4 linked regions of the Cricetulus griseus genome follow. The protein of the gene in region 4 purifies or fractionates together with the protein of the main gene of each other region. This does not show direct contact. Links are inferred from orthologs where the notes say so. Each region holds a gene or a part of one and is shown on either strand. Other genes may lie near its edges. The genes, in order: Rbbp4, Sin3a, Brms1 and Arid4a.

Region 1 (5,018 bases), on a different chromosome or scaffold from region 4:
AAACAAACAAACAAACAAACAAACAAAAAACCCCAAACCAACAAACCAGTAACCAACACAAAACTCACCTTAAATCCCAGACATTCAGCCTACGGTCAGTACCACTAGAAGCCAAAATAGTCTCGTTGTGAGGTGACCATTGAACCTATATCCAAGAGTCAACAAAGATGCAACCAATTAGAAATAGAAGGGGAAAATATCTCAAATTATATCCTACAAAACTTTGTAAATAAAAGGCAGTGAATACTGCTAAAACTTACAGATATTTCTCTCTTCACAGGGTTTCTCTATGGCTTTGGAGCCTGTCCTGGCACTTGCTTTATAGACCAGGCTGGCCTTGAACTCAGAGATCAGCCTGCCTTTGCTTCCCAGGTGCTGGGACTAAAGGCTTGCGCCACCACTGCCTGGACAGCTACTACTATACCCCAAAGATTCCTTATAATGATGTTAGGTAAAAGATAACCACACACACAAAACTATCACAAATCCTGTGGCTGTTAAGAAAGTGCTGGTTTGCTGGGTAGTGGTGGCACACACCTTTAATCCCAGCACTTTGAAAGCAGAGGCAGGAGGCTCCTTGTGAGTTCAAGGCCAGCCTGATCCACAGAATGAGTTTGCAGGACAGCTAGGACTGTTAAACAGAGATATCCTGACTTGAAGAAGAAGAAAAAAAGAAAGAAAAAAAAATGTTAGTTTATGGCATTATTGACTAATGGGTTAGGGAAGAATTTAGATATTCTTCAAGCAAGACCATCACTACCACTACCACCAAGAGAAAGGAAATAGGACAATGACAAAACAGTCTCAACACTTAGGCCATTTAGATGAGGATGACCTTTTGTGATTCTCCCTCTTCCCTTTGAATGCTGAGATTAGCAGTAGTTCTAATGACTGTAGGGTGGTCTCTTACTAGATAGATACCTCAGGTGACTGTCTTGCTTCAGGTACCCTTTATGCTGGGATCAGAGGCATGCATGGACATGTCTGGTATCACTATAAAATTTAAGAGAGGGATGTGCCTAGTTAAAAAGGACACACGGTAGCAAAAGTTCCTGCATGTCAGGCAAGAACTCCACTAACTGTGCTTCCTTTCCAGGTCCTCTGATTTGTAAGGATCTCTTTACACGGTATCTTTCTGCTGTAGCTTCCCAAGGGCTGGGATTATAGGTGTATACAGAATTGTCTGTAAAGAGGGAAAGAACAGGGCAGGCAACCTAGGTTTTTCTTACTTGGAATATTTCATCCTTATGTGACTCAAAGGAATGCAACTTGAGTTTCAGGTTTCTCAGATCCCACAAGGCAACAGTCTATGTACAAAAGAAAACGAAATCAAGATCAACTTATAAAGGAAAGCCTAAGGCCAGCAAGATGGTTCAGTGGATAAAGGCACTTGCTGCCAAACATGAGTTTGATCCCAGAATCCACACAGTGGAAGGAGTAAACAAACTCTGGCAAGTTGTCTTCTAACCCCCCACACAAACGTCATGGTGTATGTACCCCCATCCCTGCCAAATACATAGTTCAGTTTGTGTATATATACACACATGTACCATGACAACTGTGCAGAGATCAGAGGTCAACTTGTAGGAGAGGAGTTGGTAATCTCCTTTAGTCTTTCAGGTCTTGGGGACTGAATTCAGATCTTCAGGCTTGGCAGCCTGATAAAATTCTTAAAAAAATTTAAGACAAGAATACCTTTAAAACATTAACTAAAGGTCTCCGTACATTTCATTTAACATATGCTGAAGATGGCTCAGTAGTTAAGAGTCCAGAGGAACAGCTCAGCACCCATTTGGTGTCACACAAACATTTGTAACCCCAATCCCAGGGGATCTAACACCCCCTTCTGGTCTCAACAGGCACCAGACATGTACAGCATGTGCTCAAGACATACATGTGGGTGAAGTTCCTTTACCCATAAAATATAAAACTTCAACAACAAAAAATCCCAAACAAAGAAAACTGACCTTGTCAGCTGATCCTGTGGCAAGAATGAACTCACTGTAAGGATTGAAAGACAGGCAGTTCACTTCAGCAGTGTGAGCATCAACCGAGTGGCTTGGCTTGGAAGTATTGTTCGAACGAGTATCCCAGCTTCATTTAAAGAGAGAGAATAGGAAAGGAAGCTTGAAATGTGACTAATGCAAAACTCTGAAAATGTAATAAAAAATAAATTATGGAGTCCACTCACATCATAAGTTTCTGATCGTCAGCAACAGACCCAAACAGAGACTCGTGGAGCAGATGCCAGGAAACGTCCTCTACTACTGCTGTATGCCCTGTGAAGATGGTCTTTGCATCCACCACCTTTCCTTCTTTTGGAACTGCACTGATGTCCCACAGGCAGATGGTCTTAAATTTAAAATTAACCATTATATAAATGATTCTCACTTCCCCCCATCTCCCCAAAAAAGAAAGCAATTGGCAACAATTCCAGATTTGAACCAAAACTGCAAGGATACGCACATGGTCATCTGAAGCACTAAGTAAGTGCCCACTGAGATTTGGATTCCAAGAAAGACCATAACCTTCCTTCTGATGTCCACGGAGACGTAAATCTGGGTTGCATTCTCCAGAAGGGTCTGCAAAGTAACAGATATATCTAGAATATCCAGTTGATTGTCTCTCTGGGCTTATTAAGCAAAATTATGCCATAAATGCCTATTATACAAAATATAGACCCATCATGACCAACTATACAATGCTGAAGTTGCAAAATCATGATTTTCCTCTACATAAAAGCACTGCTTTGCTTAAGAAACATAAAATACCCACACATATCAATACAAATAAGATGTTAAATTATAAAAATATTTGAGTAAATGGAATCTGTATCTGATTAAAAGGGAGAGGTACCTGGTTTAGAAGGGTGCTTTGTGTAGTCAAAAACAAGCACATCACTGGATGGAGTCTTTGTTGCAATGATGCAAGGGTTCTGGGGCATGTATCGAGCCCTGTTTACTTCTCCTTCATGGTTGATCTTGATTTCTATTTCAATTTTCCCACTGACAGAGCCAAAACCTCCGAATTCTGTATTTATAAGCAAAAAGTACTTAATGAACCAAGTGGTATAACTAGAAGACAGAACCATCTGGAGAACAGAAGTGCTTTTTATACATTTATAACTACAGATAGATTAGAAATAAGTACTATATAGCCAACTGAAATGAAGACGGTATGAATACCAAACCTGGTGTGGTAGTGCACACCTTTAAATCTTGGTGCAGCCAGACCATTGTAGTTAGAGGCCAGCCTGGTCTGCACAGTGAGCCTTAAGTGTTATGCTACTAGTGTGAGATCCTGTGTGTGTGTGTGTATACTACTCAACTACTCAACCTTGTGAGTCAATCTTTTTGCTTGTTCTCCAGGCAGGCTGTGACCACACATCTCAGACGGGCCCTCAATTCACTATGCAGAGGTTCGCTGTCCTTTCTTCTTTCTCTCACACCTTCACAGAATCTCATTCTATAGCCTAGCTTAGGCAATTCTCCTGACCGGAGTGCCAAGATCAAAAGTTTGATGATCACCATTCCTTGCTAAAAGCTTGTTCTTGGCAGTTTTCAAATCTCATTTGACCTAAAAATAACTCAGCAGTTAACAGTACTGGATGCTCTCCTGGTCACGAGTTCAAGTCCCAGCAACCACACAATATTGGTTAAGGTGGCTTACAATCACCTATATAATGGGATCTGGTGCCCTCTTCTGGCATAAAGGTGTGCATGCAGACAGAGAACTCATATACATAATAAACCTAACAAACAAACAAACAAATAAAAAAACCCTTAAAAATTAAATGTATTTTATATGTGAATTGGTGCGAAGGTGTCAGATCCCTTGAAACTTCAGTTACAGACAGTTGTGACCTGCAATGTGAGTGCTGGGAATCAAACCTGGGTCCTCTAGAAGAGAAGCTAGCACTCTGAGCTATCTCTCCAGCCCCAAAAGAAACCCTATTTAAAAGGCTAAGTCAGAGGCAGGTGGATCTATGAGTTCAAGGCCAGCCTAGTTTACAAAGCAAGTTCCAGGGCTATTACATAGAGAAATGCTATCTTCAAAAACAAAAGGCTAAGTTAAGAGGATCACCAGGAGTGCAAAGCTAGTCTTGACTTCTTAAAGGGAATTTCAAGGAGGCCTAGACTACAGAGACCCCGTCTAAAAACAAAACAAAACAAAAAACCCAAAGTCACACCCCGACCCCCAATCAACCAACGAAACTACCACCACCAACAAAACATTTCCAGTACCCCAGTAGGAACACGTGTATCTTTCTTAACCAATATGCTTACCCAAAGCTCCCTTACCCCAATTTCTAACACCTGAGTCACTTTTCTAGGCCATAAATCCTGTGGAATTTCTAAGAAAGTATTTTAACAGTACAAGCCAAGAAACCAAATTTTCATTTTCATTTCATTGTGGTGTGTGTTCGTTCCAGACAGGGTTTCTTCGTGTATGAACTCACGAAATCCACCTGCCTGCATTTCATTTTTTTAGGTTAGAAATGATTTATAAACAAAAACCAAACCTTTTGTCTTCGTGATGCTGGACATGACGCCCAGGGTCTTGCAGATGCTAGACAAGTGTTCTACCACTGAGACACAAGCCAATACCCAAGAAACTCAGACATCAGACATAAGTGTACCCATCATTGATGAAATCAACTAAAGTCACCATTCCGCCATGGGGTTACCAAGCCTATCCACTTATAGGTAAAGGAGTAAAAGGAAAACAAGGTGTGTAACCCTGGGGTAGTGTGATAGTCAAATTCAAAAATCTATAGCTGTGATCCACATTACTGTTTTGTTTTTTACTATTTCTGGGGAGAGAGAAGCCATTTTGAGACAGTTCAGTCAGGATCTTAATATGCAGACCACGATGGCCTTGAACCTGTGACAATCCTTCCCCATACGGCACTATGGCACACACCTACACCAACACACAAAACCAAACTGTAGTCAGAAGCAGCAGTTCAGTCATAGAGAGCATACTGTCCCAACTCCCCAAAGCAAGAGAAACATTCA
Region 2 (5,018 bases), on a different chromosome or scaffold from region 4:
CAGCATATTTTATTACTAACCATAGTGGAAACTAAGCACAATAATACCTATCTATAATTCTAGTCTTTAGGAGGCAAAGCTGAAAAGATGCAAATTCTAAGCCAGTTTGGGCCATATATTTTGATCCTATATCAAAACAGACAGAGACGTGATAGTGGTTACCCAATTTGAAACACAGGAATTGACCTTAACAATTTTTGTCTCTCTTCCAAATATTCATAGGTACTATGACAATGTGGCTTGATAAAAAAAATTAGTACCTTCTATATATTGAAGACTTGAGAGAATTGTATTTAAAATTCTATATTAGGGTGGAGTTTGTCACATGGAGGTTAACATGATTAGACAGATGATTAACTGTAAAAGCTCATTTAATTTTTTTTTATTTTTTAAAACTCAGGACTTTTAGAAAGCTTCTACTTCCTAAGACAGGCCGTATCACCTCTGACTCTTGGCTCCTAGAACTATTTACACTCCCAGTAAGTGTGCAGGGTAACAGGGATTACTAACACTCTTTAAGCTGAGGTCTAGATAAGAGGGTCTCCACAAAAAAAGAAAGGAAAAAAAGGGAGAGGCTCCACAAATACAAGATATTTGTTGGAAGAAGTGGGGGTCAGAAGGAGCAAACTTAAAGCAGAATGATAAATTAGGAAACTAGAGGAAGAACTAAGTGTAACAATGGGTCTTAGGTATAAGATGGTAGACCAGGAATCAAAAGCTATGATGGACTCTAGTCATGAAGCAAGAACCAGTAGCTCTCAGTGATTGTAGAGTCAAAGCCAGGCTGAACATTCAGACTAAAGTTGAGGAAGGTGTAGAATCCCCCAACTCACCTCATCATAGATGCTCTCAATCTCATTGAGTAAGCTCTTAGACCTCAAGACCTTGGTGTCATTCTGTTTGAAGTTAATGCCCTGGTGATCCAAAGACTTCAAGTAGTACTTCTCATTTTGCTCTCGCCACACCTTGTTAAAGCCTCTCTGAGCTTCTCGCCATTCTTCCTCTTTCATCTTCAACCTTGGCAAAGTAGGAAGAGATGTAAATAACAATGTAAGAATTTAGAGGGTTTAGAAATGGTAAATATGCCAGGTTATTTTATTTGATAAAAACCGAATCTATGCAAAATTTGGTCAATTGCTGGTACTTGAGATAATAACACTGATATTATCTAAATGAAGTTTTTTTTCCAGAGGGGGTTTGTTTTTCTAGACAAGACTTACTGTGAAGTCTTGGTCTGGAACATGCTATATAGAATACACAAGTCTCAAACTTACAGCAATTCTGCCTGCCACCTCCCCAATGCTGACATTATAGGCAAGAGGAACATCAGGCTTCCTTGAGTACTCAGAAAGTTGAGTGACACACACCTTTAATCCCAGCCCTTAGGAGGGAGAGACAGGTGGATCTTCACATATGTAAGACAAGCCTGGTCTACAAAAGAGTTTCAGAACAGCCAAAGCTACACAGAGAAACCCTGTCTTGTAAGACAAGGAAAAAAAAAGGAAAGGAGGAAGAGGAGTTTTATGAGGGAGTATAGAGTGGTTTCTGAGACAAGGCCTCACTTTGAAACATCGGATGACCTGGGATTTACAACTTACAGCAATCTTCCTGCCTCTGCCTCCCTAGTGTGAGGACTACATCTGGCTTCAATGAGTATACTTGAAAAGTGAGCTCTCCTTGGACAAATAAAGCAACGGTGAACTTGCTTCTATGTTACGACTCAGAATGTTTACTGAGCTAATAGAAATGCAAAGTCCAAGAGAAGGCATTTGGTGAGGGGTGAGCATTGCAAGTTCAACAGCCAGTCTGGACAGTATAGTGAGACCTATTCCAAAACAAAGTTCACACACACCACACAGACACAGACACATGTTGAGACATGGTAAAGCATTTGCCTACCAAGCATGTTACACAAATGGTCCCAAGTTCAATCCCCTCTTCTGAGAAAAAAACTGAAACACAACCTCAAACATAAATTCAAAGCAGGCTATCATACACCAACTCAATTATTCTCTCTCTGTGGCAAGGAAATTGAGCTCAAGGGTTAGGCATGTTACAAAAGCACACTACCACTGAGTGGTAGTCCTTCAACCACTATGGCATACAAAACCCTAAACTAAGTTCTGTCATTTTACTCTGTCTCAAAAGTCTAACAACCAAGAAGAGAGAACTGGAATTCTGATTAGAGAACCACACAGAACCTGTCACAAAGCGTACAAAAGCCAGAAGATACACACCTTTTAAGGACAATTGGAACAGCAATGGAGGGGTTCTTCCTCAGACCGTCTATGATATCAGCTGCTTTATCAGCATATATCCTCTGGAGTGCTTTCCGATGGATGACTTCTGACGTGCCGCCAAGGGTATTATCCAGGCGAAATTTAGCTTGCTCTTCAGCAGACAAGCGGGAAAGTTTTTTCTGTATTGCTTCCAGAACCCGGATTGTTGCAAGATTGGTCTCTAAAACTACATCAAGCTTAAAACAAAACAAAACAAAAAAGAAGGTACTCAGGCCAGAAACCAGAATACAGTAGTTATGAGAATAAGGAGCGTGTCAAATTCCTCAGGATTGGAGTCCTGTATAGTTCCTATACAAGCCATGTAAGGCTCTCCATCAGTAACATATGAACAATGGCATATACTACTTTCATGAGGTTGTTTTCTGGAAGAAATGCCATATGCATAAGTCATAAAGCACACGAACTTCTCGGCAGCCACCACTGTCACACACTGCTTGGCACTGCCAAACACAGGCCAGGGGGACTAAGAAGGCTAGTATACTGATGCATTTCCTTATACTTTTGTTTGTACTTAGACACAGTTTTAATTATGGATGACCTAGAACATAACATGCTCTGTAGACCAGACTGGTCTTCGACTGTGGTAAGTTCTTGCCTCTGGCACCTAACGCTGGGATTACAAATGTGAGCCGCAATATCTGGCCTATCAACTTTTCTCACTTGAGCAAACACATTACAAATAGTAAGAAAACAATCCAAAGACAGCTGTGGGACTAAAGGGTATAGGAGTCTTAACTTAAATGTCTAAAACATTTAAATATTAAATTACTGCTTCACACCCAATGGCAACAAATTCAGGATTATTATCCTTTCCTTTTGAAAAAGAGTATCAAGTAGCCAGACTGGCGTCCAACGGGTCTATGCACCCAAGAAGGACCAAGAATTCTAAACTCCTTCAGCCTTCCCCTCGCCAGGGATTATAGGTACACTACATTACCCAACTCGAAAAATGTTCTTCACCTTGATTAGAAGCTGGGTATGGCGGCACTCACATTAATCCCAGCACTCAGGAGGCGGAGGCAGAGGCAGAGGCAGATGGATCTCTGAGATCAAGGCAGCCTGGTCTACATAGAGTTCCAGGATAGCCAAGGCTACACAGAGCCCTGTTGCAAAAACAGGAAAAACAAAAAAAACAAAACAAACAAACAAACAACTACCCATAGAAATTAACACTTAATACAATTTAGTTTTCTGCAATAACTAATCAGGCCATTAATTCTAGAGGAGTGGTGGTTTGAATGAGGATGGCCCCAATAGGCTCATATATTTAAATTCTTAATCCCTAGCTCAGAAAACTGTCTGGGAAGGGAAAGAAGGTGTGGTTTCACTGGAGGAGGTCTATCACTAGGGGGTGGGCCTGTAGATTTCAAAAGACTAGTATGATTCTCAAGGCATTCTTCTCTGCCTCCTGGTTAAGGATCAAGATGTGAGCTCTCAGATAGTTCTTCTCTGTACCACATGAACTCCCATCTCAAACTTTAAACCAAGTCAATTCTTTTATAAGTTGTCTTGATAATGAGATTTATCACAATTATAGAACGGTAACAGAGATGGGGAAAAGATGGCAACCACCAGTCAGTGAGGAGACAGCATGTGATTCTTCTGAAGAGGAATGTTGTATGAGATCTCTCCCACTGATTTGAAGAAGCAGACCCAGTCAACACAGTGTAATGAACATACTAAGTCAAACACATATATGCAAAATACAATTGACTCCCTTTGGTGTGGTATTAGTAAACATCATCTGAATACTGGAGATGTTTGAGTCTAGTTTCAGAAATTCCCTTCCTGCAATAAGGGATATCTCTACCAGCTGATTCATTCATTCTAGATCTTCCCATCCCAGCCATCCCCTTTAAAATGTAACTCTTACAGGCACTAGGGCACTTTTTTTTTTAAGCTGCCTCACACAGAGTATTTAAATACCCCTTCATTTCACATCTTCCTTGTTCCCCAAACTTCAAATCACAAAGGAGGATACCTCAAATCGTTCATCTTCACAACGATAAATATGTTCTTCATACTGAGTCTTCTTGGAACTAACAAAAGTGGAATCTTCAGACCATGATGGGAAGGAAACCCAGGTATCATTTAAAACCTTTGGGTAGAAAAAGAGGCAGAAAAGCTTGTTAAAACTTACTGGTAATTAAACATTCTCAATAAAAAGACAATACTATAGAGAGGAAAAAATATTTGGTGTCCTGGTTAGTTTTTTTGTAGCTTGACACAAGCTAGAGTTAGTTGAAAGGAGGGAACCTCAATTGAGAAATTGCCTCCATAAGGTCAGACTATAAGATCGGAAAAATTTTTAAATTTTTCAATTTTTTTTAAAGATTTATTTATTTAATTACATGCCCTATCTGCACATACTCCTTTATGCCAGAAGAGGGCATCAGATCCCACTAGAGATAGTTGTGAGCCATCACATGGTTGCTGGGAATTGAACTAAGGACCTGTGGAAGAATAGCTAGGCCTCTTAACTGGGAATGGAGTGATGGGGAGGGGATTCCAAGTCATTGTGTATGGTTCCATGCTGGGTCCTGGGTTCCATAAGAAAGCAGGCTGAGCAAGCCAGTAAGCAGCACCCCTCTATGGCCTCTGCACCAGCTCCTGCCTCTAGGTTCCTGGCCTGCTTGAGTTCCTCTCCTGACTTCTTTCAGTGACGAACAATGATACAGAAGCATAAAATAGATGGTTTCCCAAGTTGCTTTGGTCATG
Region 3 (4,526 bases), on a different chromosome or scaffold from region 4:
TCACTGCCCTCACCCCCTGCACCCAGTTGCCCTCCCAACTTCACTAACTTTTCTTTCTGTTGGTGCCCAGGAACAAAGTTTAGGTTGGCAGTTCCCAAAGGGTGTGCTTCTGTATCCCCAGGGTCTTCCATGGCTAGGAGCTCCTTCAGCTTCTCCTGGGACTCAGGAAGAGAATCCAACCCCCAAGGCACAGGCGGGCACATTCCTAGCGGTGAGTAACACTTCCTGAAGGCGGTTCACCCTGTCACGCCCCGCCAGTTAACTCTTGTATGTCCACTCCATGTGGCCAGTGTCCACTTCTATTCTGGGCCCAGCCTTGAATGGCAGGGGCCCCCTTTATGTTAGTGTCACTATTAGGGCCTCAGCTGTGGGAGGACCACCTCCACACAGCGTTTCCTCATATAGAACCTCACACTATGCAGCTGGGTAGGGAGGAGTTAAACAGGGCAGACCAAGTTCCCACAGGCCCAAGTCTCACCCCTGTGTCACCTCAAGAAGTCTGTGGTCACTTGCTCATCTGCTTCTGCCTTGGAGGGGGTCACCCTTGTGGGAGAGCACCCCCTACTGGTCACAGATGACTCATTCCTGAACCTAACTTGGGTTTTGTGATTTCAGGTTGCTATGGAGAAAGGATGCTGTGTCTCCATGGAAACTAAACCCTTTGCTTAACTGAGGTTCTGGGGGTGGTTCTGACACTCATGCTAACCAGGGGAGAGTGTGGCTGTGAGGTTGTCAGCACATGGTGCTGCTGCTAGCTGCCTCCCACACACAGGCCCTGCCAGCCTGCCTGCCAATCTGCCAAGTGACTGGGGCAGGTGCAGACATGACCTGGCCTCCAGGCATGCCTTCATCCAAGGCCATGTGCTTCATTTGTTTGCCTGGGCCACACCACGTGTAGACTCCAGCTCTGGGCCCAGGCTCGTTTCTAAGTCACAATGTTCTGAACAACAGGGACCCCAGAAGAGTCTGTCCCAGGTGTTCCCCATAAAGCCTTGATTCCTTTTAAGAGAACAGCAGACACACACTGGTCAAGGTCCAAGGATGAGTTTTATTCCAGTCTTTAGAATCTGGGAGGCAGACACCAGGAATGGCCCTGAGAAAGTCTGGGAAGATGCCATCTCCAGCGATAGCTAGGAGGGGCAAGACCCCAACATGTTTCTGGCTCAAGAGTTCCCCAGCTCCTGGCTCAGTGGGGAGGGCTGCTGCTGTCATATGAAGCCTATCTTTATTGGGGGGACAATAAAGGAAGTTACTCTTGGGGGGGGGGCAGGAACGGAGTCTTGCTTGGCCAGGTCAGCTTCAGGGTCACGGCTATGCAGATCCCAAGGAGAGCAGAGGAGCCCAGGCCAGTGTTGGTCAGGGGACAGCAGTAACACTGGAGGACTACCAGGCAACCCCCTGCCTTTGCAGAAAAATGTTAGTCCTGTGTGTGGTGCCAGCTGCTCCAAGGACCCTCTGAGTGGAAATGCAGTGTCAGGGTCCTAGGGGCAATGGGAAAATCACTACAAGGAAGGTGAATCAAAGAGAACAACCACTGCCTGAGGCCCTGGGGAAACACCATACTCCCCTCACCCACAGGGCTTCCTTTCCCTGCCCTCTGACCCACCCTGCTGCGGGCCAGCTCCAGTCCACCTTTATCTCTCTGTGGTGCTGAACTTGGGACCAGAGGCTTACCCATGCTAGGCAAGCACTCTACCACTGGGCCCTCCATTTTACCTTTACAAGTCCTTGCCAATCTGGTTCCTATTCCCCAAACTCCCACAAAATCCTCAAAGTGAGATCAAGCTATGGATTCTGACAGGGCCACCTCTTTGGTTCTTACCATCTGGTTTTCTCTTCTGAGGAGACACTGCTGCCCTGGCCTGGGTGTAGAGAAGACAGGGGCCTTTAGAGTCTACTTTAACTTGTTGACACTGCCCCCTCTACACCAAGGGTGAAAGCTGCTGAGTCAAATTGCATGAAATATAAAAAACTCCCTACACCAAGCTCTCTCAGGGGCAGCTTTTCTCTTGTTCATCAAAACTGTCTGGATTGGCCGGGCGTTGGTAGCGCACACCTTTAATCCCAGCACTCAGGAGGCAGAGGCAGGCGCATCTCTGTGAGTTTGAGGCCAGCCTGGTCTCCAGAGCGAGTGCCAGGATAGGCTCCAAAGCTACACAGAGAAACCCTGTCTCAGGGAAGAAAAAAAAAAAAACAAAAAAAAAACAAAAAACAAACAAACAAAAAAAAACAACAAAAAAAAAACCTGTCTGGACCAACGGCTAACCAGAACACATCCTTTTCCTTCCTCAGGTCAGTCTAGGAGGACTACAAATAAGCTACCACAAAGTTGGTACCAGGGCTGAGGCAGATATTGCTGAGGGGCAGGCAGAAAACTCCCTAAATACCCTCAGATACCAGAGCTGTCATGAGTGTATGAGAGAGGGGTGGGGGTGGCAGAGCAGGATGGGTAAACAGGCAGCAGCAGACCTACCTTTTTGATAGCCGTCCAGTCTTCCAGAATGTCGATCTCCTGCAGCATGTATACAATGTATGGGCCTGCACAGGGGTCAAGGAAGAAAGATGACAACAGGAGACAGGGGACAAGGCTCCACTGGATGGCCACAGGTGGCAGTGCCACCTGTCTCCTGCTTAGGAGAGGTGGTACATCGGTAGTGTGGAGGGGGTGACAAGAGCCTTTTTATTTTTTGAGACACAGTCTCTATGTAGCCCTGGCTGGCCTGGAACTCACAGAGAGCTGCCTGCCTCTGCCTCCTGAGTGCTGGGATTAAAGGTGTGTGCCTTTACACTCAGTAAGACCCTGGGCTTAATCCAAGCTCCACCTCCTGCCTCAGGGACCCTAGTTCTTGGTGAGTGTGGGGATTGTGGTGGGCACAAAACCTTACCCATTCCCTTCACACACACTCATATTTTTTTTTTTTCCAGATCAGCTGACCAAGGCCCATCCTATCCTGAGGGGCCCTGCTCCTGCTGCTTTGTCTGGCTCTGTCAGGAACTGGCTCATTGGACCCTTCCTCACCTAAATGTAAATAGTGGCCTCTTCCCTCCTGATAGCACACTATGCTATGGATCTGAAATTTACCTTTACCCACAATGGTTCAATAAAATCTCCATCCCACCTCCATCCTGAGGTGGTCCCAGGGCTGACACTGTGGATGTGGAAGATCTCAGTGCTATGCTGTGCAGCACATGAGAGTCAAAGACAGTGAGTCCCCTGTCTCACTGTTCAATACAGAAGAGAACACATGTATAGGGCTGGGGGCTATGGACCAGGAGAGACCTCAGAGGACACAGCATCTGACATGACACCCCTGCCCAGACAAGCAATAGCTCCAGAAGGGTCAAGCAAGGCCTGAGAGCATGGAGTTTGACCAAATATAAGGACATTGAGGGAAAGCCACAAGGCTCCAAAGGCTGATCCTTTCTCAGGAAATTACTATGAGTCAGTGAGCTGAGTTTTCTGTTTCTTTGGGGTCCACTGAGCTCAAGAGGACATAGGACACAGAAGAAAATCCTGACAACTGGACATTTCAGGTGACACCAAATGACCATAAATGATTCTAGTTTGACTCTGTCCCACACAATCCCTCTAACTTCCCTGAGTCCAGGGCCTGCCTTGTCCTGCCCAGTTTCAGGGGACTTTGAGTGGAAGGATACCAGAAACGAGAGGTGCCTTCTTCCTCTTGCTGGGTGGCAATGAGTCCCAGGTCTTTGAGCTGCCTCTGGCGTGTAGTTTGTCATCCCACCACTCTGTGCCCAGAGACTCAGAGTCAGGATCAGGACAGTGACCCACAGGTAACTCCCACTATCCCTGTGGTTTTACCATGGACCAGCCTGGCCTCCCCTCCCTTCCCCATCACCACCAGGGCAGTGGCCCCAACCTTGGGCTTGAGGCTGGTGACCTCTTGGGACCACTGAGGTCCTTACTGCATTTGGTGCAAGCCGGCAAAGATGAGATGACACTGCCCTTCGTGGTTAAGCCCCAGTTTTTCCATTTGCTTAGTAGACAGGATGAAGGTAATTCCTGGACCCCATGTGAATGCAGATGCCACCATCATGGAGAGGACTATGGTTTTTATATGCATCCATGTGTCAGCTGGATAACCCCCACTCTGAATGGGGACAGGCAAGGGTGCCAATCTGCTTGAGTCCCAACTATATGTGGAATACTGAGCTAGACCCTTTCCTGAAGACTCATTCAGTCCTCACAGGGATCCTAAAAAGTGGGCTGTTTGACTCCCCTTATGCAGCCTGGGAAGCTGAGCTCCAGGGGTGGGGAGGTACTGCAGGATTGGGCCCTCGCCTCACCAGAGCTGATGTCTAGGCTCTGGCGGTCCTCCTCCAGCCTCTGGATCCGCTCCTGCAGCTCCCCAAGGAGTGTGTCATACAGCAGCAGCTTCTCACTCTGGGAGGGGAGAGCCTTTCAGCCAGGGGAACTACTGGACCTCAGTCTCCCTCCCAGAGGCCCACTTGCCAGCTCACCTCTAGGTGCTGTTTGGCTCCCTGGAGTTCACACTCATATTTAT
Region 4 (5,018 bases):
ATAAAGTAATAAAAATAAATCCTAAGCCAGGCGATGGTGGCACACACCTTTAATTCCAGCACTCGAGAGGCAGAGGCAAGTGTATCTCTGTGAGTTCGAGGCCAGCCTGGTCTATAGAGTGCGTGCCAGGATAGGCTCCAAAGCGACACAGAGAAACCCTGTCTCAAAAAACCAAAAAATAAATTAAATAAATAAATCCTAAAAAAGGAACCAACAAGTAGAAAACATAAAACTTTGCCTAGTGGCACACACCTTTAATCCCAGTACTTGGGAGGCAAAGACAGGTAGATCTGAGTTTGAGGATAGCCTGGTCTCTATATCGAGGCAGGCCAGGGCTACCCACTGAGAATCTCGTCTTTAAAAAAATGAACACATTCAGTGTTTGCCTTTTAAAAATTCTCTAAGGAGGGCATGTGTTGTAAGAGCATAAATTTTTATATTATGTATATATGCATATAATACATATATTTTATATTATGTATATATGCTCTGAGAATGCTACCTTACTATTTGAAAAATTCTCTGACATAAAGTGAATAATTTGTCTTGCAAGCAGGTGGCTTGCTTGTATTTTCTTGTGTGTTAATAAGAACATTTGAAGTTTGGAGAATTCACATCGCTCATTTTAAACATCCCTTCTTAGGGGACAAAGTGGTAAACCTTTGTATTAAGTCAGGTCAAGTCACTTGACATACTAGCTTGTATTTTTTTTTGTTCTGTTTTGTTTGTTTAGTTTTTGAGACAGGCTTTCTCTGTGTAGCCTTGGCTGTCCTGGAACTCACGCTGTAGACCAGGCTGGCCTCAGGGATCTGCCCATCTCTGCCTCCAGAGTGCTGAGGTTAAAGGCCTGTGCCACTACACCCAGCTCTTCTGTTTTTTTCTAAGTGGTACCGTAGCCTAAATGTGTTGTTGCTGAAGACAGCTCTTCATACAGAACTGACATGGTAACATGCTGCTTATTATATTTTTACACATTTTGTTTTTATAGTTTGTGTGTAACACATGTATACATGTTTATGAAGGAAGGAGTGCACATGTGTTCAGAGTCCAATGGGCAATCTTGAGCAGTGTTCCTTAGGAAAGTTCTGTAAACCAGGCTGGCCTAGAACTCAGAGATCTGCCTGCCTCTGCCCCCTGAGCACTGGGATTAAATGTTCACACCACATGCCCTCTTTCATCACGTTTTAATTTTAGTCTTTCCTCTTACATTTTAGCCTTATTTTATATGAGAAATTCCTATAGAAAAATTCAGAAGTCTATAAAGAGTTTTGCTCATATTTAGTAGGATTCTAATTATTACATTAGCATTTAATATAACCATCTGTGCATTGTACTGTCTCCTTGCAGACTCTTGTTCATCTGATAGTGAAACAGAAGACCCTTTGGAGAAGAGCTTGATAAATGAAGAACTTTCTCCTGATATTAAGGAAGAGTTAGAAAAAAGTGAAAATGTAAATGATGATAAACTAGATGAAGAAAGCCCAAAGATTGCACATCTATTAAAAGAAAATGACAGGACTCAGATGCAGCCCTTAGAGACCCTGAAGGTAGAGGTCGAAGACAATGATCAAATAGTACATATTTTTGGAAACAAAGTAGAGCAAGTAGAAGAAATTAAGAAGCAGGTGGAAAAGTCCCCAAAAGGGAAGGGAAGGAGGAGTAAGACGAAAGACCTTTCTTCAGAGGTAATAAAGATGTCATCCCTCGGCCAGGACGAAGCAGGCAGTGATGCTCATGCAGACACTCAGAGCCTGGAGCTTTCCATACTAGAATGCAAAACCGTTTCTTCTCCTGAAGATGAAGGGGACCAATATGAGAGAGAAAAAAAGTTGAAACGGAAAATACTGGGACAGCCATCACCAGAGAAGAAAGTAAGACTTGAGAATGGGATGGAAGTGACAGCTGGTGTGTCCCAAGACAGGCCCAGCGATGGCGCTGGAGCCGAGGGCAGGAAAGGGTTACATTTCGAGCAGCACTTTGAAACAGAAAATGAAGGGATGCCATCATTGATAGCAGAGCCAAACCAGGGCATCCAAGAACCACCTAGTGAAAAACTGGACAGTCCAGCTGAAGAACCTGTACATACACCACTCAAAGAGGAGGAAGACGTGATGCCCCTGATTGGGCCTGAAACCTTGGTTTGCCATGAGGTAGACTTGGATGATCTGGACGAAAAGGAAAAGACCAGTATTGAGGATGTGGTAGTTGAAAACTCTGAGTCTAACTCTGTGGTTTCTGTTCCGACTGCCCTACCTCCCGTAGCACAGCATAACTTTTCAGTAGCTTCCCCTCTAACTCTCAGTCAAGACGAGTCCCGGAGTGTCAAGAGTGAGAGCGATATAACAATTGAAGTCGATAGCATTGCCGAAGAGTCACAGGAAGGCCTCTGCGAAAGGGAGTCAGCGAACGGGTTTGAAGCCAGTGTTGCCCCTGGTACCTGTGGTATAATTGTACAAGAGAGAGAGAGCAGAGAGAAGGGTAAGACATTCTAGGGGGTGATTGCTTTTGTGTTAAAACCAACAATTCAGGTTTTTGATATGACAGATGCTCACTGTTGTCTTTTTTAAAAAATAGAGAAATGATGTGGACAGGTACGTAAATGGACCTGTCTGCTTCCAGCTTTTGGTTTTGTTTTCATGGTTTTTCTTTTCCTTTATTTCAGGTCAAAAGAGGCCAAGCGATGGAAGTAGTGGGTTGATGGCAAAAAAGCAAAAGCGAACCCCAAAGCGAACGAGTGCTGGAACCAAGAGTGAAAAGAATGGGACAACAGGTCAGTGTTTACCAGTGCTGGTATTCACACAGCAGCAGAGGCGTGGCTTGTTCATTTGAGGAGTCCAAAAATGAGCAGGGTTTATTATGTTCTGAAAATAATTTTTCCATTTTTGGGGGGTATGTGTATGTGTGTGCTTGTGCGCATGCATGCATGCATACAAGTGCACAGACATGCCACTAAGCGTATGTGGACATCACAGGACAATTATGTGGAGTCAGTTCTTTCCTTCCATCTTTATGTGGGTTCCAGGGCTCAAACTCAGATCTTTAGGCTTGCATGGCAGGGATTCTTCCCCACTGCGTCATTCACCATCTGTCCATTTTAATCCGAAGATACCTATTAGTCTTATTTAGAACTAGGATAGCTAAAATTATTATTTCAGGAAAAGCAATTAAATATTAGAAAGACTTTAGGGTCTTGAAGAAAAGAAAAATAACATTTGTTGTGGTGTTAAAAGTATGCAAAACTAGCCGGGCAATGGTGGCACACGCCTTTATCCCAGCACTCTGGAGGCAAAGGCAGGCGATCTCTGTGAGTTTCAGGCTAGCCTGGTCTACAGAGTGAGTTCCAGGATAGACTCCAAAGCTACAGAGAAACCGTGTCTCAAAAAAAAAAAAAAACAAAAAAACAAAAAAACAAAAAACAAAAAACAAAAAACAAACAAACAAAAAAGAAAAAAACAAGAAAGGAAAGAAAGTATGCAAAACTTATATTTCTACTGAGCCAGAAGTGCTGATTTATAAATAGTAAAAATATTTATTTTATTTTATGTATGTGAATATTTTGACTACATGTATGTTGATGTATTATACCCCTGCCTGGTACTCAAAGAACTCAGAAGAGGCAGATTCCCTGGATCTGGAGTTGCAGGTGGTTGTGAGGTACCATGTAGGTGCTTGAACCTGGGTCCTCAGCAAGAGCAGTAAGTGCTTGTAACTACTGAGCCATCTCTTCATCCTGAAAAGTTAATTCTTATCAAATGAAATAAAATAATATATAGGTATGAATGGATTAGATTACATGAAAAGCAAACTCAGTATGAATAGTTAAATAGTCAATTAAATAAATAAATCAATCATAATAAATCAATTAAATATGATTGATTTTTGACAAGTTTGTTGCTAGATCATGCCCTCAGTAAAACAAACAGCTCATATCCTAACAAAAGGACTGTGGAGTTTACACAGTAGCAAACATCTCAAAGGACTTGAGACTGTTTCAGATTTTTAGTAGTCAGATGTGACTTACAGCTGCATGATTCTGACTTAAGGAAGAGAGTGATAGGAGGAAAGAGTGGATTAGAAATTACAAAGGGGGGCTGGAGAGATGCCTCAGCGGTTAAGAGCACTGACTGCTCTTCCAGAAGTCCTGAGTTCAATTCCCAGCAACCACATGGTGGCTCACAACCATCCATTATAAGATCTGGTGCCCTTTTCTGGTGTGCAGATATACATGGAAGCAAAATGTTGTATACATAATAAATAAAATCTTTAAAAAAAAAAAAAGAAATGACCAAGGGGATATGCATAATTTTACAGATTATAAATCCAGAAGATACCACCTTAGGGTAATCAAAGTAAACACTCAAGTCCACACAGGTGGACTTCTGAAAGTGGTAGGGCTCAGAGTCACGGCAGTGCCATGTGTGTATCTTCCTTTGACACTTTCCAAAGAATGATGTTATTCTGACATGTGCTTCTGCCACCACTGAGGCCAAAAAGCCTATTTCCCCCTTTTTTCTGTTGTAATCCTTGATAGATATGTTTATCTGTGTGATTCCAGGAAGTGTTACTGCTTCTGCTGCATTTTGATATTTGAGGCTTTTCATCATTTATAATTGTAGTAAACCTATTACAGGACAAAGCAGTGACAGTGAAGATCTCCCTGCCATGGACAGTTCAAGCAAATGCACGCCAGTCAAACATCTGAGCCTGTCCAAGCCGCAGAAGCTGGCTCGCTCCCCTGCAAGGACCTCACCTCACATCAAAGATGGAGAGAAAGAGAAGCACAGAGAAAAGCACCCGAATTCATCCCCTAGGACATATAAGTGGAGCTTGCAACTCAGTAAGAATCTTTCAGATAGCTTGAATGGGTATTGTAAAGTGTAACATTTCTAAAATGTCCATTTGGAATAATGTTATAGCCATTCCAAATCAGTAATCATCACTGTATGTAAACTGCTTTTCTTTTGTTTGTTTCTTTTTTTTTTTAATTTGGATAATGCTAACTTGACAAAATCTTCAGT

The links.
Region 1: the proteins of Arid4a (region 4) and Rbbp4 purify together in Homo sapiens (co-immunoprecipitation; 4 studies listed by BioGRID and IntAct, with this or other methods). This does not show direct contact. The link is inferred for Cricetulus griseus from reciprocal best matches to the Homo sapiens genes ARID4A and RBBP4.
Region 2: the proteins of Arid4a (region 4) and Sin3a purify together in Homo sapiens (affinity purification with western blotting; 6 studies listed by BioGRID and IntAct, with this or other methods). This does not show direct contact. The link is inferred for Cricetulus griseus from reciprocal best matches to the Homo sapiens genes ARID4A and SIN3A.
Region 3: the proteins of Arid4a (region 4) and Brms1 purify together in Homo sapiens (affinity purification with western blotting; 3 studies listed by BioGRID and IntAct, with this or other methods). This does not show direct contact. The link is inferred for Cricetulus griseus from reciprocal best matches to the Homo sapiens genes ARID4A and BRMS1.

What each region holds. Positions count from the first base shown.
Region 1 is NC_048595.1:23,710,698-23,715,715, reverse strand, and holds part of Rbbp4 (histone-binding protein RBBP4), read right to left. Parts: intron 3,031-5,018; coding exon 2,857-3,030; intron 2,583-2,856; coding exon 2,467-2,582; intron 2,353-2,466; coding exon 2,192-2,352; intron 2,095-2,191; coding exon 1,968-2,094; intron 1,308-1,967; coding exon 1,230-1,307; intron 146-1,229; coding exon 69-145; intron 1-68. UniProt on the Homo sapiens protein: Core histone-binding subunit that may target chromatin assembly factors, chromatin remodeling factors and histone deacetylases to their histone substrates in a manner that is regulated by nucleosomal DNA.
Region 2 is NC_048597.1:168,630,184-168,635,201, reverse strand, and holds part of Sin3a (paired amphipathic helix protein Sin3a), read right to left. Parts: intron 4,399-5,018; coding exon 4,282-4,398; intron 2,477-4,281; coding exon 2,238-2,476; intron 1,018-2,237; coding exon 834-1,017; intron 1-833. UniProt on the Homo sapiens protein: Acts as a transcriptional repressor. Corepressor for REST. Interacts with MXI1 to repress MYC responsive genes and antagonize MYC oncogenic activities. Also interacts with MXD1-MAX heterodimers to repress transcription by tethering SIN3A to DNA.
Region 3 is NC_048596.1:54,237,078-54,241,603, forward strand, and holds the end of Brms1 (breast cancer metastasis-suppressor 1), read right to left. Parts: coding exon 4,483-4,526; intron 4,406-4,482; coding exon 4,309-4,405; intron 3,751-4,308; coding exon 3,658-3,750; intron 2,539-3,657; coding exon 2,474-2,538; intron 1,863-2,473; coding exon 1,823-1,862; intron 1,482-1,822; coding exon 1,474-1,481; 3' UTR 1,029-1,473; downstream 1-1,028. Other genes in the region: Rin1 (ras and Rab interactor 1), read right to left, coding at 49-203. UniProt on the Homo sapiens protein: Transcriptional repressor. Down-regulates transcription activation by NF-kappa-B by promoting the deacetylation of RELA at 'Lys-310'. Promotes HDAC1 binding to promoter regions.
Region 4 is NC_048598.1:132,312,545-132,317,562, reverse strand, and holds part of Arid4a (AT-rich interactive domain-containing protein 4A), read left to right. Parts: intron 1-1,347; coding exon 1,348-2,478; intron 2,479-2,662; coding exon 2,663-2,770; intron 2,771-4,630; coding exon 4,631-4,837; intron 4,838-5,018.